Coturnix japonica: one gene and its partner. The protein of the gene in region 1 interacts with the protein of each later gene in a pairwise test. Links are inferred from orthologs where the notes say so. Each region holds a gene or a part of one and is shown on either strand. Other genes may lie near its edges.

Evidence for each region.
Region 2: the proteins of C4H4orf19 (region 1) and PDCD10 interact in binary tests that used the Homo sapiens proteins (3 or more experiments, as listed by UniProt). The two-hybrid records come from large-scale screens. The link is inferred for Coturnix japonica from reciprocal best matches to the Homo sapiens genes PGCKA1 and PDCD10.

What each region holds. Positions count from the first base shown.
Region 1 is NC_029519.1:63,118,701-63,129,132, reverse strand, and holds the start of C4H4orf19 (uncharacterized protein C4orf19 homolog), read left to right. Parts: upstream 1-4,948; 5' UTR 4,949-5,175; intron 5,176-10,432. UniProt on the Homo sapiens protein: Acts as a tumor suppressor. Acts as a tumor suppressor for colorectal cancer cell proliferation by targeting KEAP1/USP17/ELK1/CDK6 axis.
Region 2 is NC_029524.1:18,267,070-18,277,515, forward strand, and holds the start of PDCD10 (programmed cell death protein 10), read left to right. Parts: upstream 1-5,097; 5' UTR 5,098-5,247; exon of another isoform or gene 5,248-5,290; intron 5,291-10,446. UniProt on the Homo sapiens protein: Promotes cell proliferation. Modulates apoptotic pathways. Increases mitogen-activated protein kinase activity and STK26 activity. Important for cell migration, and for normal structure and assembly of the Golgi complex.

The DNA of each region.
Region 1 (10,432 bases):
GTTTGAAATCCCCCTCCTCTGAAGAGCTGTGGAACTGCAAGTGGTTCTGCAATCCACTCCTCCAAGGTTTCTGTTCTGAAGGTAAGCAACCTTCCTTCCATCTTCTTTCAAAATAAGGGCATGACTCACTCATGCCAGTCTTGATGTCCTTGTGAATAACCTGCATGTCAGAAAGCTAATTCCTTTGTGATCTTGAAAGAGTGAAAATACATCTCTTATCTGCCAGCAGAGTGACCAACATTGGGTAACAGCTGAACATAACATAGAAACAGAACAAAACAGAAACAGAGAAACATTCTTTGTTGAGAAGCAGTACAAGAACACAGTCAGCATCACTTCAGCTGAGTGGTTTATTAGTGGTGTACCCAGACTTGCTCCTCTTGTTTTCTGCCTCACCACTTTTGCATGGTAGCACAGCATCTTGGGGCTGGAGACAGTCCCCAACATAACAGATGGTCAACCTGCCAGTGAGAGCAGTCTTTCCCTCAGCTCAGGTCAAACAGGGGATTTGGGCCTTTGTCGAAGCAGCTGGGTGGCACTAGAAAGTTAATGATGTATATAAACAGAACAAGTGTTCCCTTCATTTTTTGAACCTTAGTCTCAAGTCTCACATGTTCTAACCAGGGATCAAGAGTGGAGCAGCACTCCTATTTCTCTTAATTGTAAACCAGTAAGAAAGACAAACATACACATGACTCTTACTTTAATTAAGTCCTTTTGCCTAGTATTGGGTCTATAATCTCACTGAGAATTCTGTTTAGATCCTGTTCCTCTTTACACTTTGAATCTACCTCAGTGTATCTGTACTCAGCTTTCCACCTTTCTGAGTCTATTTCTCAGGTGTCAGATGAACACTGAGCTATCACAGTAGATGTTTCTGAACATTATCAGGCTGCAGGGTGTCCAAATACCGGCTGCTGCAAGACTGGGTGCTCCACAGCCCTCACAAATATGACCGCAAGCACTCCCATACTATTGTATAGAAAGTAAACAGTTTCTTTAATAATGAGAGACCCAAATACAAAGTGCTATTCTATTTCTTCAGAGGAACAGGGCAATTTACTTTCTCTTAAGGAGCACTATTTGCATATCCAGAACAAAGCTTTCATTCATTCTTTATCTAAAGTGCATCAATAAACAGGATCAGATGAAGGTCCATATTTTCTGACACACAAGGCTCTAGGAATAGGCCATAGCTGCAAGAAAGCTTTAGGGGGGAAATAGCCGGAAATTCTTTGGCTGACAAAGGTAAGCCAGAGGTCAGCTAGAAAAAGCATTTTTATCAGTCATTTCCTTTGCACCACAACTGGGGAATGCACGGCCCGTGACTTCATTTCATACGGCCTGTGGCCATTTAAATTTTTTCACGCTACTAGCAGATAACATCAAATGTGAGTTAACAGGTAGCTTGGAAAAGGCATTCAGAAGGCTTTCAGTTTTCAGTGTTTCTCCTGCACTGATTTCTTTATGCTGCATAAGCAAGTCCTGCTCAGAAACCTGTAGTGACAGAAGTGTTCTCAAGTGGCAAAGGGAGACTGAAACAAATATCTGCCACTATAATAATGGTCATACAAGGAAACAGGGGAAGGACTATTTCAGCCCTAGATCAGTTTAAAGTCCTGAGAATTCACTGTGACTGTCAAAAAATTACATTGAAAGTTTTTCAAGGCAAGTTGACTGATGTGATGCTTATGTGTCTTTGTGACACATTGTTTTCTTTTTTTCATAAGGGACTAAAAGATATAATATATCCACCCTAGATGGATTTGACTCTTAGGTAACATGAGACAGCTTCTGGGCTCTTACAGAGGCCACACCACAGTCCTCCATGCTACCAAAACTTTGCTACATAAAACTACTCAGTGTTTTACAGTAAATATTAAAAGTTCAAAATGACAGAAATTTTGTTATGTATCCCTATTTCTTCAATTATAAAATCAAGGGCATTTTATTTTTTCGCACATTTTTAACATATTCACAAATATGACCCGTAAATGTCAAAATGTGAAGTAGGACCTCAGGATAGCTGTCAAGGACTTGTTATTAAAAGTCATTTTATACATTTATGTTACAAATATGACCTACTTTAAAATTATTACACCCTGTTAAAGATATTACTCAACATTTCTTTGTGGAGCTCAACCTTGATGCAGGAAGAGCAATGGACTGCATTATTTCCCTTGGTTTGCCTTTCCAGCCTGGTCATCAAACACCACTCCTGGCATTTTGGAGGTAGTCTGGAGACTTTTACAAAGCCACTGATGATCACAGTGTGGGCCTAAATCACAATGTCAATTCTCAAAACTCAAAGGCTGAAAGAAGTTAACAAGGATGCTGGAAGGTCTGGAAGGCAAGGTGTGTGAGAAGCAGCTGAGGTCTCTTGTTTTGTTCAGACCAGAGAAGAGGAGGCTGAGGGGAGGCCTCACAAGGGGCATCACTGAGCTCCATTTTCTGGTGACAGCAACAGACCCAAGGGAATTAATGGAACTGTGTCAGGGGAGGGTTAGACTGGGGATTAGGAAAAGGTTCTGTACTAAAGAAGGAGCAGCATGGAACAGTCTCCCCAGGGCAGTGGTCACGGCCCCAAGTTGCTGGAGTTCACAAAGTGTTTGGACAGTACTCTCAGACATGGAGATTGAATTTTGGGGTGTTCTGTGTGGAGCCAGGAGTAGATAATATTTTTGGGTCCATTTCAGATCAGAATATTCTATGATCCTTCTAAGGATCATAGAATGAGGCACTTTGCCAGGTGCTTCTCCAGGAGGAGCAGTTCACACAACCATCCTTCTCCATCACTGGAGTCACCATCCCTGACAGTGTTCAAGAAGCATCTGGATATTCCATCCCACCCAGCAAAGCCTCCAAATGACTGCAGCCTCCACCACTTGCAGCACCTGACGTGTCTGCAGCACAGGGATTCCATCTCCAGCCTCAGCAGGGAATACATGAAGGCAAATTTAGGGCACATCCACATGTTCCTGTTGGCATGGCTTTCACTACATAACACTGCTGCACCAGCACAGCTCTTTCATTTACCACAGCATACAAAAGAGATAATGTCATCACCTGATTCCATGTGAATTTGGTGGTGTTCTTTGTATGCTGGAAAGCTTCAGGACTAAAAGAGGTCCAGTCAACAGACTTGAAGTGAAATACACAACATTTGCAAGGCAGGGGATGAAACAAAAAAAACAGACACACCAAAGCACAGATGAAAACAGAAGATCTTGAAAGAAACATACCAGCCTGTTGTCATCTGTCTCCATTATTGAATTGCCTCTTAAGTAAGTGCCCAGAATTTCCCACTGTAAGACCACTTTGCTGATGGTATCTAACTTACGATGTTAACCTCTTGGGCTGCAATTTGTCAAGGCAGAGTGTTATCTCAACAGGAATATCCTCCAAAATGAAAAAAGAAAAATAGAAACAAACAAATTAATTAATTAATAAAAACACCACCAAAACAGTCTACAGTGAGATTAGAGGGAAAATAGGGTTTCTGCTGGCTGAGTATCTCAACTACTTTTCCTGTGGAAAAAATATTATCCTACTTGTGGTTTGACACTCCATCCAAGACACATCTGTAAAAACCTGACCAAATTATCAGCTCAAAGAGATTCTAACAGCTTGCACATACCTATAGAAAAAGTCAGATTTCAGGAACAGGAGATTATTTTCAGCCAATGCTAAGAGCATGTAAGCAAAAATAAATAAGTAGAATATAATTTAGACAAATTAAAAAAAGAAAATCAAAAAAGTCTGCCACAGAGCTTTGCAGAGCTTTGCTGGACTCACAAGCTGCGGATAATGTTTGCCTTTACATTACAGCACAGTTCTCTGCTTCAAATAAGCAGATCCAAAGAAGCTTTTATGACTTTGTTGCTGGGCAGTTGTGTTGCAGGCAGCTTCATTGCTCTGCATGTGGCCAGGTGGCACAGCCAGTGCTCCTGCTGCCCCACCACCTACACGGCAGCCCCAGCCCACCCCTGACATGAATCTGGCAGAGCCACACTGTCCTCACCATAGCGTCTAGAAGGGGAAACACAAGGCAAACCCCGCTCACTGATGAAGTGAGATTTTAAGAGGCTATTTTGCATGAGTAAGGCAAGCAGTACTCAGCATGCCTCTTCCACTGGGAAGACAGGGGTGCAAGCTCCAACCAGTCAGAGGGCCACTCTAAGTGAACAGTCACTGGGAGTGAGAACAATACCTCTACCAGTACAGCAGCCAGGCTTCATATAACCATAAACAAACAGAGAATTTAGCAAAATATTTCCAAAGTGTTGTCAAGTGGGCTACCTCTGCTTGTACTGCTTTGGAACCCCCATCCTAACGTAATGTCAGTGCCAGTTCTTTCCAGGACTTTTTTTTCTTCTTTAAGTTTCCACTTACACATCTACTCACGTTACAGATTACAGCTGGGAAACACCTGACACAGCTGCCAGCAGATATTGCTTAAGTCAGTTCTCTCCTCCCGCACAGGGAACACTCTCATAACTGGGTTGCAGCAGCAGAACATCTTTCATAGCGCATTTGGAAACACCACACCCAAACCAAAGTGATTCCAGGGAAGTCAGCAACTTTCATCAGTAAGTATTAGGGGGTGCCTGCAAACACCTACCTTAAAGCAGAGCTCCTCTGCAGAGCATCACCCAGAACAGTGGGACTCAATTTCTATGCTCAGTAATACTCTGATACAACAGAGGAGATTTTTACCAGAGCTGTTCAGCACTGCCTGTGGCATGAGAAGATTTAATTTTAAGAATATGCAAATAACAGTGTTAACACACTGACAGACTTGGACTTTGTTGTGGTTGTGGTGAGCGGGTGTCCCAGTGGAGAACTATTCGGCACTTGCAATCCCTCCCATTCCTTTTCTAACCCGGCTAGAAAGCAGTGAGGTCTGTCAGGTTTTCTCCAGCTTGCAGGTAAAGGGTTACAGATTCTAGGAAGTATTAAATGCAAACTTTAAAGGATTTTATTTTCATCTGCAGTCACATGACGACTTAATACCCAATGACACTAACTACAGTGTCTCATTAAGAGGTCATGCAAACTCCCAAGCTAAACAAGGCATTCTTACATATTTAACATTCAAATGCAGGAGCCGAGCTAAGCCATGGAAGATTGTAATCAGAAAAAAGCAACACTTCCTGATCAGGACAAAAGCTACAGGTAGGAAAAGTTCTTGTTCCTTTAACTTACAACACTGTGCTTTCAAGAGAAACTGATTGTAGGACATGTTGTGTACACTCTTTCTTAACTTTAGCTCTCAAAATAAGCTAACTTTTATCTGGAAAATATCAGATCTCACCTGTTTCACCTTTTGTAAAATCAGTTTTGTTTATATGCTCGGTTGGCTCAGCAGAAATCCAAACAAAACAATGCTCTTAAACGAAATGTAACTATAGAAAAACTGATATTTTAGAAGATTTCTTAGCTATTCAGACTGTTGTGTTAGAGTATGCAAGGTAAAAGGGGAGTTAATGTGTCTGACATCTGAACTGAGTGGATTTAGAGCTCTTCTGACTTTACTTATACCATGAACTGCACATTGTTTCAGTCACTCTGATGAAAGTATATTTTAATGGATGTGGCTTTCTCGCTGAACTTTCATGATTTCTGATTTCCCTTCCTTCAATTTGATGCATTTAAAAGGAAAAAATATCTTACAAATGCAAATGAAATGCAGATGGGGAGGATATTTCAGTGCTCTATAAAAGGAGAAAAAAATAATAATTATTAAAAACAAAAACAGGGAGTAGAAGGAAAGGCAGTCAGTTAATTGAGAAGTTAAATTGTATGAGGGCATATCCATTAAGTGATAAAGTTTCACTGACAATTGCTGGCAATATTGCAGTTCTTTTTTTTTTTCATTTTGCTGAAGGATTTGTCCAGGATGCGGCATCAGCACTTTGTTCACAAAGATCTTCTTCATCACAGTTTTTCTCTAAACTGTAATTATTTTCACATGGGGCAATACATACTCACCATTTTTACCCCTTTATAGGAATTTAGTTGTAGACGATAAAAACCACCATTTACCTGTAGCTGCAGAGCTACAAAACCTATATTTACTAGAAGATCTCAGTGCACCTTTAGATTTCCACCCCCTGGGGATTCTCACTGCATAAAAGGAGTAAGTGGTGTTTATAGTTTTACTCCTAGGATAGCAGGTGGTAATTGCAGGCAATGTACATTTTCTTCACTTTATTCTAGAAAACCTTTTTCCTCTTTGCACATAACACTAGAGTATACTAAAAAGAAGTGGAGAATAACAATAACTATGACACCTTGCTACATATAGATAAGCTCTCAACTTTCTTTGCTTTATCATTACCAGTGCTTAAAATAAACCCAAGGAAGTTGGAGCTCCAACAAGTTTATCACTAGAGCTTAAAAAACAATTGCTCACTTCCAGGGTGGCCATCTCAACCTGATGTAGGTCCAGCCTGAGACACCGAGTCTTTTACCAGCTATGGGTACTGCTCACCTCCCAGCAGAGGAGTTCACTAAGAAGATGAAGATGTAGAAAGAAACAACCATGTTTTAAAACAACTGTTTTAAATTTACTATAACTGACCTCTGAATTTAAATTATTTACAAAAATACATACACATTTATCTATTCAGTAACTCTTGTAGATAAGGGGCTTATTTGGTAAGCAAAATCTAAACATAAGAGAAACACAGCAGACCCCCAAATACACAGGCATTCTGTTACACAAGCTTTCTCCCAAGGTGAGCATTGCACCCAACTGACCTGTGGGGAGCAGCCTGCCAAGGCCAGACTCTTCTACCAAATGTTTGTACAAATTGGGTGGGTTATGAAAGCCAGCACTTAGGAGCAGGCAAATCTGTGAACACTGATTAAATAACATGTCTTTGTAGGGTGAAAGACACAAGAAATGCTAAAGTCACTCTGAGCAAACAGATACTTAATGAGGGCGAGAAGTAGCTCATTTCCAAAGAGAGGCATATAGAAGAGTTTACTCCAAGCATGCTAGCAGTTCAGATGTTCATTATACCAAAAATCTTACAATCTTTACAGTAATTTACACTGTTTTAATTATTGCATTTGTTTTGTTGTTTTTTTTTTTTCTAATGGTATAACCCAACCTACTAGCTTGCTCTGTCACTTCAACATAGAATCAAATCACAGAATCACAGAATCACCAAGGTTGGAAAAGACCTAAAAGATCATCCAGTCCAACCATTCACGTATTACCAATAGCTCCCACTGAACTATGTCCCTCAACACAACATCCAAATGTAGTATTGTTCACAGGAAGGACACACAAGTCAAAGACGTACAAGAGTACGCTAGAAAAGATATTCTTTGAAACCGAGATTCATGCAAATCCAAGACAGAATTTTTATCTTCAGTCTTTGGGAAAAACCAAGGAAACATAAAAATTAAAATGCTTCCATGAGTTTGGAATTGTTTTCTGTTCTCCCAAAACCAGAGCTAAGCAAAATATTGATTAAAAGTTAACCTGGCTTTTCCAAAATGCTTGTGAATCTCAGGAAACCTGTATCAGATTTAAGGCTTATACTGCAAATCGTGAACCTGCTCATTTTCTTGCAGCTCTAGGTAGGCAGGAAGACAGAGCAAAAGCTGTGACTGAGTGCATCTGTGGCTTCCTTGGAAAGCCAGGTAGAAAGTGATCACCATGCAAAGGAAATATTTTTGAGTGCTAAGGCTCTTCATTAGCCACATGGTTGTTTTTATCACATCTCAAGGAAACACTTAAGGAAGTATCTGCTTTCAACCAAGGTTCTTCATATAGGCAAGAGTGTGATGCTTTCCTTCCCACTGAGCAGAAAACCAAGTACAGGATCTGAGGCATATAAAATATAACAGGGAAGGAGACCACACAGGCAAGTAATAGAGAAGGCCTGCATGGTCTCTGTGTGACAGTCCTGTGCAGAAAAAGAAAGACAGACAGAAGAGAGAAAGTGTCTGGTCATGGAACAGGGTGCCCAGTGCCCCAGCCAACAGGAGACCTCAGGGCAAGCAGGGCCTGCACAGGAGACCAGAGTCTGCTTTGAGTCCGTGCTGTTCTGCCACCTCAGGAAAGCCTTCATTCACGTTTTTCAGGAAGGGGAGGCCTTTTTCTGTGTTTGCACAGTATCTAGTTAAACACAATCTCAGTCTTGTCAACATCTCACACAACCATCGTTTCACAAGTGACGTGGTGAGGACAAGACTTGACATATGCAACCCACTGAAAGGTGATGTCATCAGATAATAAATATTTGCTTGGAACTTAAAATTCCTCTTCCAAAACCTGTTCATCTGCCACCTGACAGCACACTGTGCCTCATTCTTCCACCAAAAGAAGTGCAAGCAATGATGCATGGACATGGCTGGGTTTTGCAAAGCTAAGGAGCACGAATTCCAGCAAACTGGACATATTGTTATGGAAAATAGGTACAACAAGTGACATAGTTTTACTTATTGAAAGTTTGATATCAAATGGACAAAATAGCTTTTGGTAGAAAGGTCAAAAGTATTATTGGAAAGGGGGGAAAAACAGCAATTTTTCCTCGATCTTCCCTCTAAGTCACTTTTGCTCGGACATATGGAGGAACTTTACAGTTTTATTAAGAGCTGAGTACATAGTTTGGAAACTAAACATTTAATCAGTTACAGCAGGAAGCTGGGAAAAAGAAAAAAAAGAAAAAAGAAAAAAAAAAAGACCTAAGGTTCCTTTTTTGTGTGACGTTTTTGTCTGCAGTTTCTACAAAAGTTTATTTAATTTCCAATTCTTCACTTTAACCACAGATGTTGGCTGCAAAGCCACAGATGCTTTCTGGTTAGAAAAATATTTGTGGTCAAATAGTCTATTATTAATTCACATAAGTTATTTTTCCATTTGGGAAAGCAAGGAACAAGCCATCTCCTTGGGGCTTACTTTTTTTCTGGTGAAACCAAATGGGCCTGGCTCCACTTTAAGTCATTCCCCAGCTATGAAAGAAAGCTGTGCATTGTTATTAAAAAGCAGTTAACTTTTGGATTTAATGAGAAGAAGGCGAATGCTTTGCTATAGCAGACAATCTGCTTTTGTGCAAGAGATGAGTAGAAAAGAAGAGAGCATCCAATGTGAAGGAGGAAATGTACTCCAAGTGACTGAAAAACCTTTCAACCTGGAACCTCCTCCAGGACCCTTCCATACTGACAACAGTGGGAATAGTACCAAATCCTCATACACAGGCCAGGAGCAGAATATGTGACCTGGTGTAGGCTGTGCTGGTGCTGCCACAAATCTGCCCAGCGCTTTGCTACCAGCATAAATTTCAGTGGCACAGCAGCTCAGCTCTGCCCAAGGACAGAAGATCTCCAGACTACATAGAAAAAGATTATTTCACTTTTGACTACACTCCCTGCTGAGGACAGATGCGTTTGGGTGTGAAGACACTTTGCCCAGATAGGTTGGCATTAATGTCCATAATGTCAACTCTGATGTGGAGTCTCTGGAGGCTGCTTTAAGGCAGGAGCAGAAGGAGTGTACCAAATGAGCTATATGGAACCACATTCCCACAGATTCAGGGATTTGCCTGGCAGTATGTCCTTTCCTTCTCTGAAAAGCTATTCTCCCCCAGGATTTATTGCAATGGTTAAATTTATTGCTGTGGTTGTATTTACAGCTCTCACTTCCCCCTTCATCCCGCAGCTTCTTGCAACACTTTTATTAGATTTGGGAGTGCCCAGCATTATCAGCCTTACTCAGCACCTGAACCTTGTGCAACAGTGCAGGACACAGAACAAGGGGCCCACGTCCTGATGCAGCAGCCTAACGCTTTTCTCCCCTTCACCTTCTGCAGCTCCCAGGTCTGGGCTGCAGCCACCCCAGGGCCAACCAGCAAATCTGTACTGCTCTACAGGACCTACAGTTTCTTCTCCCCTAAAAAATGTTAAGCAGCTCTTACATTTCTTACAGCATTCAAGCCTGACAGCAATCTTCTCTATGTGATTTTAACACTGGTTGTTCATGAGGAGCTACTCTTCTGATCTGCTCACAGTAAAAGTATTCTTCCAATCTACTTGCAGTAAAACAAGTGTAAGGCTTTGGCAGTGTCAGATTTTTGAAGCAAGCTGGCAGCCCTGTTCACTTAGAGATCAGTGGAAAAAAACTTTCCACTTCCAGAAACCTGAATAAAGCTTTGTTAAGGCCCTTTCTGTCTCTATTTTTGGCTTGGGTGTGGCATGGAAAAAATAATATTTACCATCGCAGTAGCTGTGCCCTTTGTGTATTTGTGTTCATATTCCCTTTCCCCATGTGAATTCAGCAGATGTTGCAGGGCTTGATATCAGCCCTGTACTTCTGTTATCTGAATGCATGCACGTCTCCACTGAACAGGCCACGTCTGTGCAGCAAAGATACTGATTCAACTGCCAGACAACATAATGAAGAAAAATAACCTAAGAT
Region 2 (10,446 bases), on another chromosome or scaffold:
CATTTAAGGATGTTCTTCACATACCAGTCCCATACCCCAGGAGGTGCAGAGCAGGGGAAGAAGTTGCATATCAGCCATTCTCTCATCCCAGACATCTTAAAAAAACACTTCTTCAGGGAAAGCTCATCAGGTGGTATATTTCAGAACTATTTCCTGTTCATATCAGTCGTAACAAAATTATTCCTATTTACTCTAAAGGAAAGCAGGAAAGCCAATTTCATTAGTGCTCTATGAAAACAAAACCATAGCAACAGAAGACCAAAACTGTTCATTTAAAACCTCAGCTCTGACTCTCCTACAATTGTATTACAATGGATAGATGTATATTCTTTTAACACTGCCTTATCCAATTCTCATGTACTACTAATCCCTTATACTCAAATCCTTTATCACATGGCCTTCAGGAATAACTTCTCTAAGGACAGATAGAAATGGGAGAACACAGAACTCATGTTCAATAGTGCTGTGGCTGGGAGAACCACTGCCAGAGTCTCAGGACAAAAAAAGTATATGGAAGCATATATAGTGTTGAAACAAGGTCTTATTTTCCCATATTAAGCTACAAGCATGAGAGGCTTATAAAGTGTTAAACTTAAAGGCTATTCTGTGATCTTCAATTCTAATGTCACTTTCGTCAAATATTATCTGAGGCTATTTTAGAAGCATTGAGTCAGTTTTGTTTTGTTGGTTTTTTTACTTTAATAAAAACAGCTGCTGCCTGTAAAGTTATTATGAACAAACAATGCTCCTTAATAAAGAGGTTTATGGCTGCCATATGCAAGTGCACATGCTTTTAAAAGGAATAAAAACTACACTACAGTGTTTTAGAATTCAATAAGAGAAGTTTATTCCTCTCGAGTACTCATAAGAATCATCAGACATCTTTTGATTCCCTCTATTAACTCATTTTGGCAGACATTAGCATTTCTTCCTCCTGCTTTGCAAATAAATCTGAAATTAACAAATCTACAAGCTGATGTTTCTACAGCAAAAAGTAAAAACTTGGCTTTCCTCTTGTCTCCTCCCCACTGACACAGATATTATTCACCTTTGAGCTTCATCTCTATTCACAATGCTGAGACCTACCCCTCTTAACACCAAAAGAATCTCAAGTTGAAAACCAAGTATTACAGTAAGCTCTTTGTGTGGGTATAGGTTTAGATTGGTATCTTTAAATAGTTTAGAAACTAGAGCAAATGCATTTTGGAAAGAAGTTAAGCAAGAAAGAAAACACGAGTTGCTTCAGTGAGTTCAAGTTGTAATGTGAAATACCCAATTATTAAATGCTCAAAGAGCTGCTTTAATTTAGAACTGGAAAGAAAAGCATTCCAAACGGGCAGCTTTAGTGTACCAATTAAAAAGAAATCTTAAATCTTTAAACCTATTTTCTTTGTAGCTGTAACTTATATAACCAAGAAGCACACAGGGAAAACTGGGGCAGCGAGTATTACCTCAGACAGAAGTGGTCATTACTGAAAAACAGCATTTTGCTCTATTGTCAAGGCAGGAGGCAGTCTCCAGTGGCTCAGTGATCATGAGGAATTCAGACAGGCTGTCTTCAGTAAAGTACCATGCTCCAAACGTTACCCTGACATGCCAAGGTCGGTTAAAAGATAACATTAAGAAGTGGCTGTCCAAGTTCTCTAACTTTCTGTGACGATGTGTCACAGCCAAGGACTGGAATGGTATCTCTGCTGAAGCAACTGACTAGTGGTAGTTCACATCTGGTACTAGCATTTGGGCACGTTATTTTATTGTCAAGCTAATTAGTGCTTGCTATGGTATCTGAGCAAAATTCAGCCAGTTTCAGAAATAAAACAAGTCTTAAATATGTTGTTAAAACAAGTCAGAAAGCAAACAATAGTTCTTCTTCCTCATACCAGGGAAACTCCAAGCCCACTCCACAGACAGAAACTCAAATGACAAAATATGTGAAAACAAATGAGTACAAGAACTGAAGGACTCAGGGGAACACTCTTAGCTAACAAGCATTTCTGTTTGTGTAAGCAGGAAACTTCACTGCGTACAGCTTCAGTGTGGATGGAAGGGATCTTTCTAGAAGCCTGCAGCCCACTAGACTCAAAAGCCATCATGAGGTCAGCCTTTCCCTGAGACATGCACAGCAGATTAAATATCCTTCACATTATTAAGCAATTATTACTTTAGATGTAACAGTAATGATGAAAAACCACAAGGCTGAAGAACAACTGAATAAACAGGAAGACATCTGATTAATAGGCAGCTATTTGGTTAAAATTGAGCACAAGCACACGGCTCAACTTTCTTCCAGTAGGAATATTACCTGTCACTATCAATTTCCCCTCCCAAAATACCAACTGTCTCAAGATCTGAATTATTATTGAAGAATTACCATATTTAAACACTCCACAAAACTAAAAATTCTTCACAATACATAAGGTCAAATCTTATTAACCAAAAGTGAGGTGCATATTTAACTAATTAGCTTGTATCAACAAAACATTCTTTTCTCTCATCTCATAGCTACAGCTGCTTTGCAATGGCTCTAAAAGACCAAGAAGGATGCGGATAACTCACGCAGCTTTTATCACATTAGCCACACTCTGCTGTTCTCATAATCATTAGCTTTGAAGTATATTAAACAAAGCAGAAAGTGACCTTAGAGTTGATATTTTCAGCACACCACAGAAGAAAAAATTCTTATCAGACATTTCAGGCCACCAAATGAGATGCTGCTCATAATCACCCAAAACACAAACAGCTAAAAGAACATCGCTGCTACTCTGCCAAGCAATGCCAGGCAGTGACCACCCTACCAGCAGGGCTGTGTTATAGACACCCAATTTCAGCTTGGCTGAAGGATCAACATGAAGCACATTGCATGTATGAGACCAACAGGAAAAAAAAACCAAAGCTTATTAATACAGCATGGCTTTATTAACAAAATGCACAGGTTACCTTACCTACATTTATACTCACCAACAAACTCCACTAACCCAACAGTTTTGAAGACGCTTCCAAATTTAAATCAACTACTCTGATCTTCAAAGGTACAAAGTTACCACTAAACATGTTACTTCATAGATGTCTATCCCTACTATCTGCCCACTACCTTGAATATTAATGGTTACCTCCTAAATAATTTTAAGCAGAGAATCACAGGACACTTAACATGTTAATTCATGTTCAGGCAGACAGAATAATATACTGCCTACACAGAATATCTGCTAACAAGTTACTTTAAACATTCAAGAGTGACAGACATAGATAAAGAGCAACAAAACTTGAGTTGGAGAAAGCAATAAGATACTGGAGCAATCAGAAAGGTCAACAAAGTGGAAGAGCGATAAAGGAGCACAGAAGCAAAGGGAATAGTGGGAATGTGATGGTGTTACAAAGGAAAAGGGCTCACCCATCACTGAAGATCTGGGTTCACAAGGAAAACACCACAAGGGAGGGATCTCCAGACAGAGATTCTTCCCCAGTGGCAGTCAGCTCTTCAGTGTGGTCTAAGAGAGACACAGCCAGACTCCGCTCCTTCTGAACTGGTGAAGCCTTCACCAGTGCTCCCAGTTGACTGGGTCCTTTCCCCAGGTGCACAATCAGTGGTTCAGGCTTTGATTCAACAGTCACCATACAGATACATAAGTGAGAAAGCATACTAAAGACCTTGGAGTAGCTAGAGCTTGGTGCAAAGGATCCTACCAGCACCATCTCCTCTCCACTGCTCCATTTAGTAACAAAACAAAAGTTGAATTAAGAGGTAAGTAAACATATGACATTGACATATATAGAATAACTGTTGGGAGTTATTACAATGATGGAACACTCAGACACTCCTGGAGCTCTGCTGGACTGCCTGAACACAGGTCAAAGAGCATATTAAGTAAATCTAGGAAAGCATCATTAAGCATTACTTATGCTGTGACTTAAAGTAAAATACTAGCACCAGTAGGACTGCAGCTTCCTAACATCACTTTACAACCACTAAGGAATGACAATATCATAGATGCATATGCACCTCAACCCATGCTATAATGCTTCTGTGTCTGTCACACAAACTAAATAGCAAGGCTTTCTGCTGGATTAAAGCACTGATCGCATCAAAATAATTGAGGAATCAAAGACAAATACTCCGCATACACAGTAAAGCATGACAAATCTAGTAGTTGTTTTCTAGCATCCTTCCTTACCTACATGCAGATGGTGGGCACTGGTAGCATGTATGGGTAGCACACACAAGGGCTCTGCTCCCACACATATATCAGTATCTTCCCATTTCACCACCTCGGCGCTGCAAGGAGATGCAGCTGGCATTCAGGAGCACCGCGATGCACCGATTCATCACCTGCTTACAGCAAAACCCGCATACGCCTCACCAAAGTAATAACAGTACCAGGAAAAGTTGCAAGCTAACGCATTAGAAACGAAGGCTCAAACCTAGAACTGAGCTGCGTATTGATGGGAATTCATATTGGTTACTAAGAGCTTCACCTTAAAGCTTTCCAATAACTGCGAGCACCAAAAGTAACGCGACCGTTGTCAAACAGCCCATATAGGGGACACCTACAGGGCAACACAAGCCAAGAGATAGAGAGGAGAGAGGCAGCAGCTCAGCACAAGGCTGGGGCAGCTTCGTTCTGCCACGCTCAAACCACGGCTGGGACAGAGCTTCAGGAGACCACAGAATAGCATAAAACACACTCAGGTGGACAGGCTGCAGGTGCCGGGACAGCAGGACGCCACATTATTATTGCTCTCTTCCTTCCCCATTCTCTCCCCACATCACCCACCACCTCCCCTCAGGCACTGACACACAACCCGCACTACGGAGCCACGCAGCTTCACACCGACATCAAACCGCAGGCTGCTCCCGCAACCCTAAACACAGCACCGGCTGAACACAGCAGGCTAAAGGCACTTACCACAGCAGCAGCTCAACACCACCCCCCTCCACTGTGAGAAGTGCAGCCGCTGCTCCCCGCGCCGGGATATGCCACCGCGCCCCGTCCAGGCCTCGCCCACCCGTCCAGATTCGAGCTCTGATTGAATAGACTCTACTCCTATACTCCTCCTCATTCCCTCCTACCCGCCCCTTTTATCGCCTCGTTGCATTGTTGGTGTTGTAGTTGAGGAGAGAGGACTACGAATCCCAAGTATCCGAGCGGCTGCCGGTTAGTTCCGGACAACGCCTGGTGTGTGGTAACACGGCGGACGCTTCCTCCTTGTTGGGTTTCCGGCGAGGTGGAGGAGCCCCCTCGGAGCTCGGTGAGCTTTGCGGGGCGGAGAGGTATCGAGGTAAGGCGGTGAGGTGAGAGAGGCTTCGTTTTCTTCTCTAGGCCCATGTCTTTAAAGGGATAAGCGCCTGGAGAGACACAGAGGAAGAGGGTGGGGGTCACCGGTGTAAGGCCTGGGTTTCCTTTTGGGGTTGTGCTATGTTAGAAGCGTTAAACTGTCTCAGGTTTGAGGCTGGGTGAGGGGAGAAACGTTGTTTGCTGCAGGTGTGAGGCCTCGGCCTTTTTCTTCCTACCGCGGGGTGACCTGGCCCAAGGGCTCGTCCTTGTTTCCGCCCTTCCCGCTCGGATCCCTCCTGGTAGGGCCGGGTACCAACCCCCGTCCGCAGCCCTATGGCTGTTCTTGGCAGCGTTAGGCCTGCGTTGTATTTTTAGCCCGGCCTCGTACTGCTGAACGGCGTTGTCAGGGCTGGGCCTGGTTCGCTCCAGGTGGGGCCTTTCGTCTGGGGGAGGATAGAAAGTGATCACGTCGTGCTTCCTCTTTAAACCAAGCTTTAGGCTGGTGTTGTTAAACACCTTAGTGTGCTGTTATATGATTAATGAGTGGCGAGTGTGTGGCCTTCCTGGGGCTTGTCCATATAGGGGGCACAGGTTTGCTGCTGAAGCCTTGAGGCAGGTGGATGTGTTCTTGTTATCAGAGGAACTGATTGCTGAGTGCTGGTTGTTTACCCATTGGGATGTGTTATTGTGTTTGGAGCTGTTTCTGTTTGTGGTTTATCTGTTAGTGGTTGATAGGGCAATGAGAACTGAGTAGTTTTACTTTCAAATTCCCTTGGAAGAGGAAAAGAGCTTGAAAGAGAAACAGGGATGTGTTGTGTTATTCTGTATTGGAGAGGCTTCTTTGTGGCCTTCTAGTACTTAAAAAGAGACATGTTAACAAAAGAGAAATGAACTTTGTCTGCGTGTCAGTAGTGATAGTACAAGAGAGAGATGAAATTAGGGCCTAGTCCAGGCATCTTTTGTTTTTCATGTGATAGGCAGACACAAAACCAAAGTATTAGGGTGTACTAAATAATTTCTATTCTGAACTTCAGACAACAGATTTATTGAAAGCCAGATTTCAGAGTATTTTGAAGTAACCGTCTAAAAATAGGCTTCTTGAATTTACTGCAAGTTTGTGCAACTTAGTCACCCAAATTGGCTTCACAATAATAAAATGCACAAGCAGTTATACTCTGTCAGAGTGAACTCATCTGGAAGTGGCTGTGATAGATGTGCATGCAGGTATTTGAGGAGTACATGTTTGCTCTACTAAGAGGCATTTAAAGATGCCTATTAAACTTGAGTGCTGTTTTCTGATAGTATTCCTTTTGTTATCTCTTTTGGGAAGGTGCTGAATGTAAGCATTAGCTTAATACAGAACCTGTACAGTAGGCTGCTTCTTTAGGTTTCTTGTTGTCTTTATTAGTTTTAGAATACAGAGGTTGTTATCATCATAGCTGCACTTGACACCAATTTCAGTGAATTCAACCATCCTGTCCCCAGCTCTAATAAGAGAAGTAGCTCAGTATTTGAGGCACAGAGGCTTTCAGCTTTGTACTATGCAGTCAAAGTTATACAAGAGGAGTGGTTATGATCTACGAATGGAAGTACTATGTAGGTAACTTCTCTCCGGAAGGGGGGAACTTGTGCTTTTTTTTCCAGTTTATTATGAGCAACCATTAACAAGAGAAACTTAAAGGTACCAAGTTGTGCACAGGGTAGGTACACTGTTAGAACTGCATATTAGCCATGTACTTGGGCTTTACAAATAAAGGCCAAGGTCTTTGCCTCTGAATTTGGGACAGGCCTCAAGTTAAGTGTTTGTTTTTATCCCGTTCTTTCTTACTAAGCTTAAGTTTTTCTGATGGCAAAGATCTTAGTGGATTTTCTCTTAACACAACCTTCTTGAATCCTCCCTACAAGAAGTGGAGTGGAACTTCTTGTTAGTGGGGATAATCTTTCTAGGAGGAGCAGAGCTGTAACTTCTGGTTCTGTCCTAAAAACCAGTCATTGAATTAATCATGCAGGTAGATCAATGCCTCAGGCCTTCTTCCACTTGGTACTTCGCTTAAAAAGAAGGAGCAGGCTTAAAAAGAAATAGCACAAACGTTTGGCTGCTTTAAGATTATCTACATCTGAGGTAAATGGAGCCTGGAGAATGGAATGGAGACAGCACCAGTGGTGTAGGTAGGTGACGTAGCTGAGGAGTGAAATTCTGCCATCTGGAACTTCATGTTTCCATTGTTTTCCAACTTCTTTCAAGTTCCAAGCATAACACTCTGTCTTCTCTTTAAACATGCTTTCAAAAGGTAGTATGAAGCAAAATACTTTCTTTCATAGACAAGTAGATTGTTTTCACACTGACCAGTGAGCAAAGGTGGATTTGGGAAAGTTTCTGCCCTTCCTGGTTCTTCTGCCACTTGACTTTTAAGTGCCTGTCAGAAAATAGCATAGATGAGAAAAGCAAGTTTGTGTCTTGGGCACTGGTAACAGTAGCTGTACATTTTGGGAAAGTGTGGAGTTTCTTGCTTTTCATCTTCCTGCTTTACAAGAAGTTTATCTGAATGTAGGGTGTTGTGTTGTTTTTTCCTTTCAGGCAGTTCCATTGAATGATTGAAAACCTCATTGGGTGGATTTGGAGGAATAGATCTATAACATAACATTGAAATTCATCTTAAGTGTGCTGGTTCTGTGATTACTGAATAGTTGGGCTAGTCTTTTGGTGCTGAAACATTGAAGGTTATAACATATAAGATTTATATGGACAGTGAAAGTAGATTCTGTATTAGTTATTCTCTGGGAATAGGGCTTGATGCATTTGGCTTAATGCTAAACAGACAGGATTATATTAGCTTGCATCTTAGCACTGTTTTCGAATTTAAATTCTCTTTACACTGGCTATATCCATCTTGTTCCTTCCCTCTGATGATTGATTTCATCTGATAGGGGTGAGGCATGACTTGTAATTACACATGCTGGTGAACAGGCTACATTTGAATCTGTGGGACTGCTGTGTAAAGAAACAAGTCTTATATGCAGATGATATTGAGTAGTCTGTCTTTTCCCATAACTCATATGGTATATCCTAATTTCTCCTAGTCTTCTCCCTCAGACCAATTAACAGACTGGCCAGTTGAGTAATGTTCTTTTTGCATCTAACAGCAATTTTCCAGGGTTTTCTGTATTACATGACACTGTGGTATTCTAATGGATCAACTATTTGTAGGATCTTATTCCAGCTTTTTTGATTGTCAGCAAAGCCACACATAGCAACACTTCTGAAAGCTATTGGACTACCTAACAATTCACAAAAATGATGGAGCTGGTTTTAGTTTGCATGGGGATTTGGTCTAAATCATGTTTGAGACCATGAGATTAGTGAGGTGCTGGAACAGCTGCCCAGAGAGGTTGTGGATGCCCTGTCCCTGAAGGTGTTCAAGGCCAGTTTGGATGGGGCTATGGGCAGCCTGGTCTAGTATTAAATGGGGAAGTTGGTGGCCCTGCCTGCAAGATGGGTTAGAGATTCATGGTCCTTGAGGCCCCTTCCAACCTGGACCCTTCTGTGATGTTGCCAACAAAAGTGGCTCATGTTCTTGCCTGTTTTTTGTGTGCATGTGTATTTAAAAGCCCCTCTTGTCCTCACTACCTCTTGTCTTCCATCCCTTGAGTTCTCTGTGATAATGTGAGTCCAGGGTTGATTTACTTTGTTTGAGGAATGTCTGTACCTGCAAAAGGGGTAATAGATGGTCTATAATTGTTTTAATATGGGGTGTTTAATGGTACAATAGGTTAGTAACAGTAGCTTATAGCTCCTCAGAAAGCGAGTCTTTCATGGTAGTCTACAGTGCAATAGGTTTTCATTGTCATAAAAATCTATCATTTCAGTTAATATTTTATTTTTTTCCTGGATACTGCAACCCATAAAATCACAGTAACTACATCTAATGGTTGCTTTGTCCTTTTTGCCCTTCTGCTTGTGATCAAAAATCTTTTGGGTAATGTTCAGTGATGTTCAGTTACCTGTTCTGAAAAGCTTGTACTGACAGCACAATACTTTAGATAAACACTTGCAGGCAATCTATGAATGCTGGCTTCAGTGATGCTCCTTTGTGTGCTGCCTTCCTTGAGTCTTTATCTTACTGACCTTCCAGAAACACAGAGTTAAAGAGTAAAACAAGCAGCTCTCCTTCCCCCTTGCCCATGACATGCCAAGGCTGTTGGTGCTGGCACTATGCATGTGTAAGAAATGGGACAGCTTGTACTTGCACTGGTGAGGAAACTTGTTCAGACGAGGTTCCCCCCCCCCCCCTTCATGGGAGTAGACCTGGCATCAATTTGTGTAACTTGGAAATAAATTGTTTAAAGATGATTCCACTTGGGGGAAATGATGAATATTGGTTGCTTATAACTGTAAAAGAGCTGCTGGTCTTTTCATCTGGTCTTGATCTGTAATACCATTCATGCCAACATAGCTGTACAACTACCTCTATAAGGATCCAGTAAGTAGCCTTGGTGGCTACAGAGGTCTGCTTACGTGTTGCACTGAAGGCTTGAAACAATAATAGAAAAAGGTTTTGCAGTAGATAATCCATGTCACAATTTGTGTGAAGGACTGTCACTTCTTATTATATTTACATTTAATTTCTTCTTAATGTGCTTTCCCAACTGTTGGCTATTTCTGTACTGTGACCTGCTCCTGAGTTTTATCACATTGGGGTGTTTTCATGTTGCCCAATCACATGCACACATGAGGCATGCATGGTATTTGTAGCCATCCACGTTCCTTGTGTGCTTACTTGAATCAATAACAAATCTCACTTATATGTGCCTGCACTGGGCAAAAGGATGAAGTGTTTTGCATTTAAATAGATGTGTGCAGGAGATTTCTAACCAGAGCAGAGTGGGGAATAGAGCTTGAAGTGTCTTAGCATGTTTTATCACATTCAGACCATTGCAAGGTGATACTGGTTATTGCTGTAGTTTTTACTGTTGCTTAAAAATGTCACCCTATTCACTTATTTACTAAAATATCAGTGAAATCTGTTACCTGGGCATACAAATACTGGATGTGTGAAGGTTCCTGAGTGTGGGGGGGAAAAAAACTCCTGTAGCACATTAAATAAGGACAAAACTGAAGAAATAAAAGATTTGCATCTTTGTTCCTAATTTGGACATTAGGTCCTCAATTATG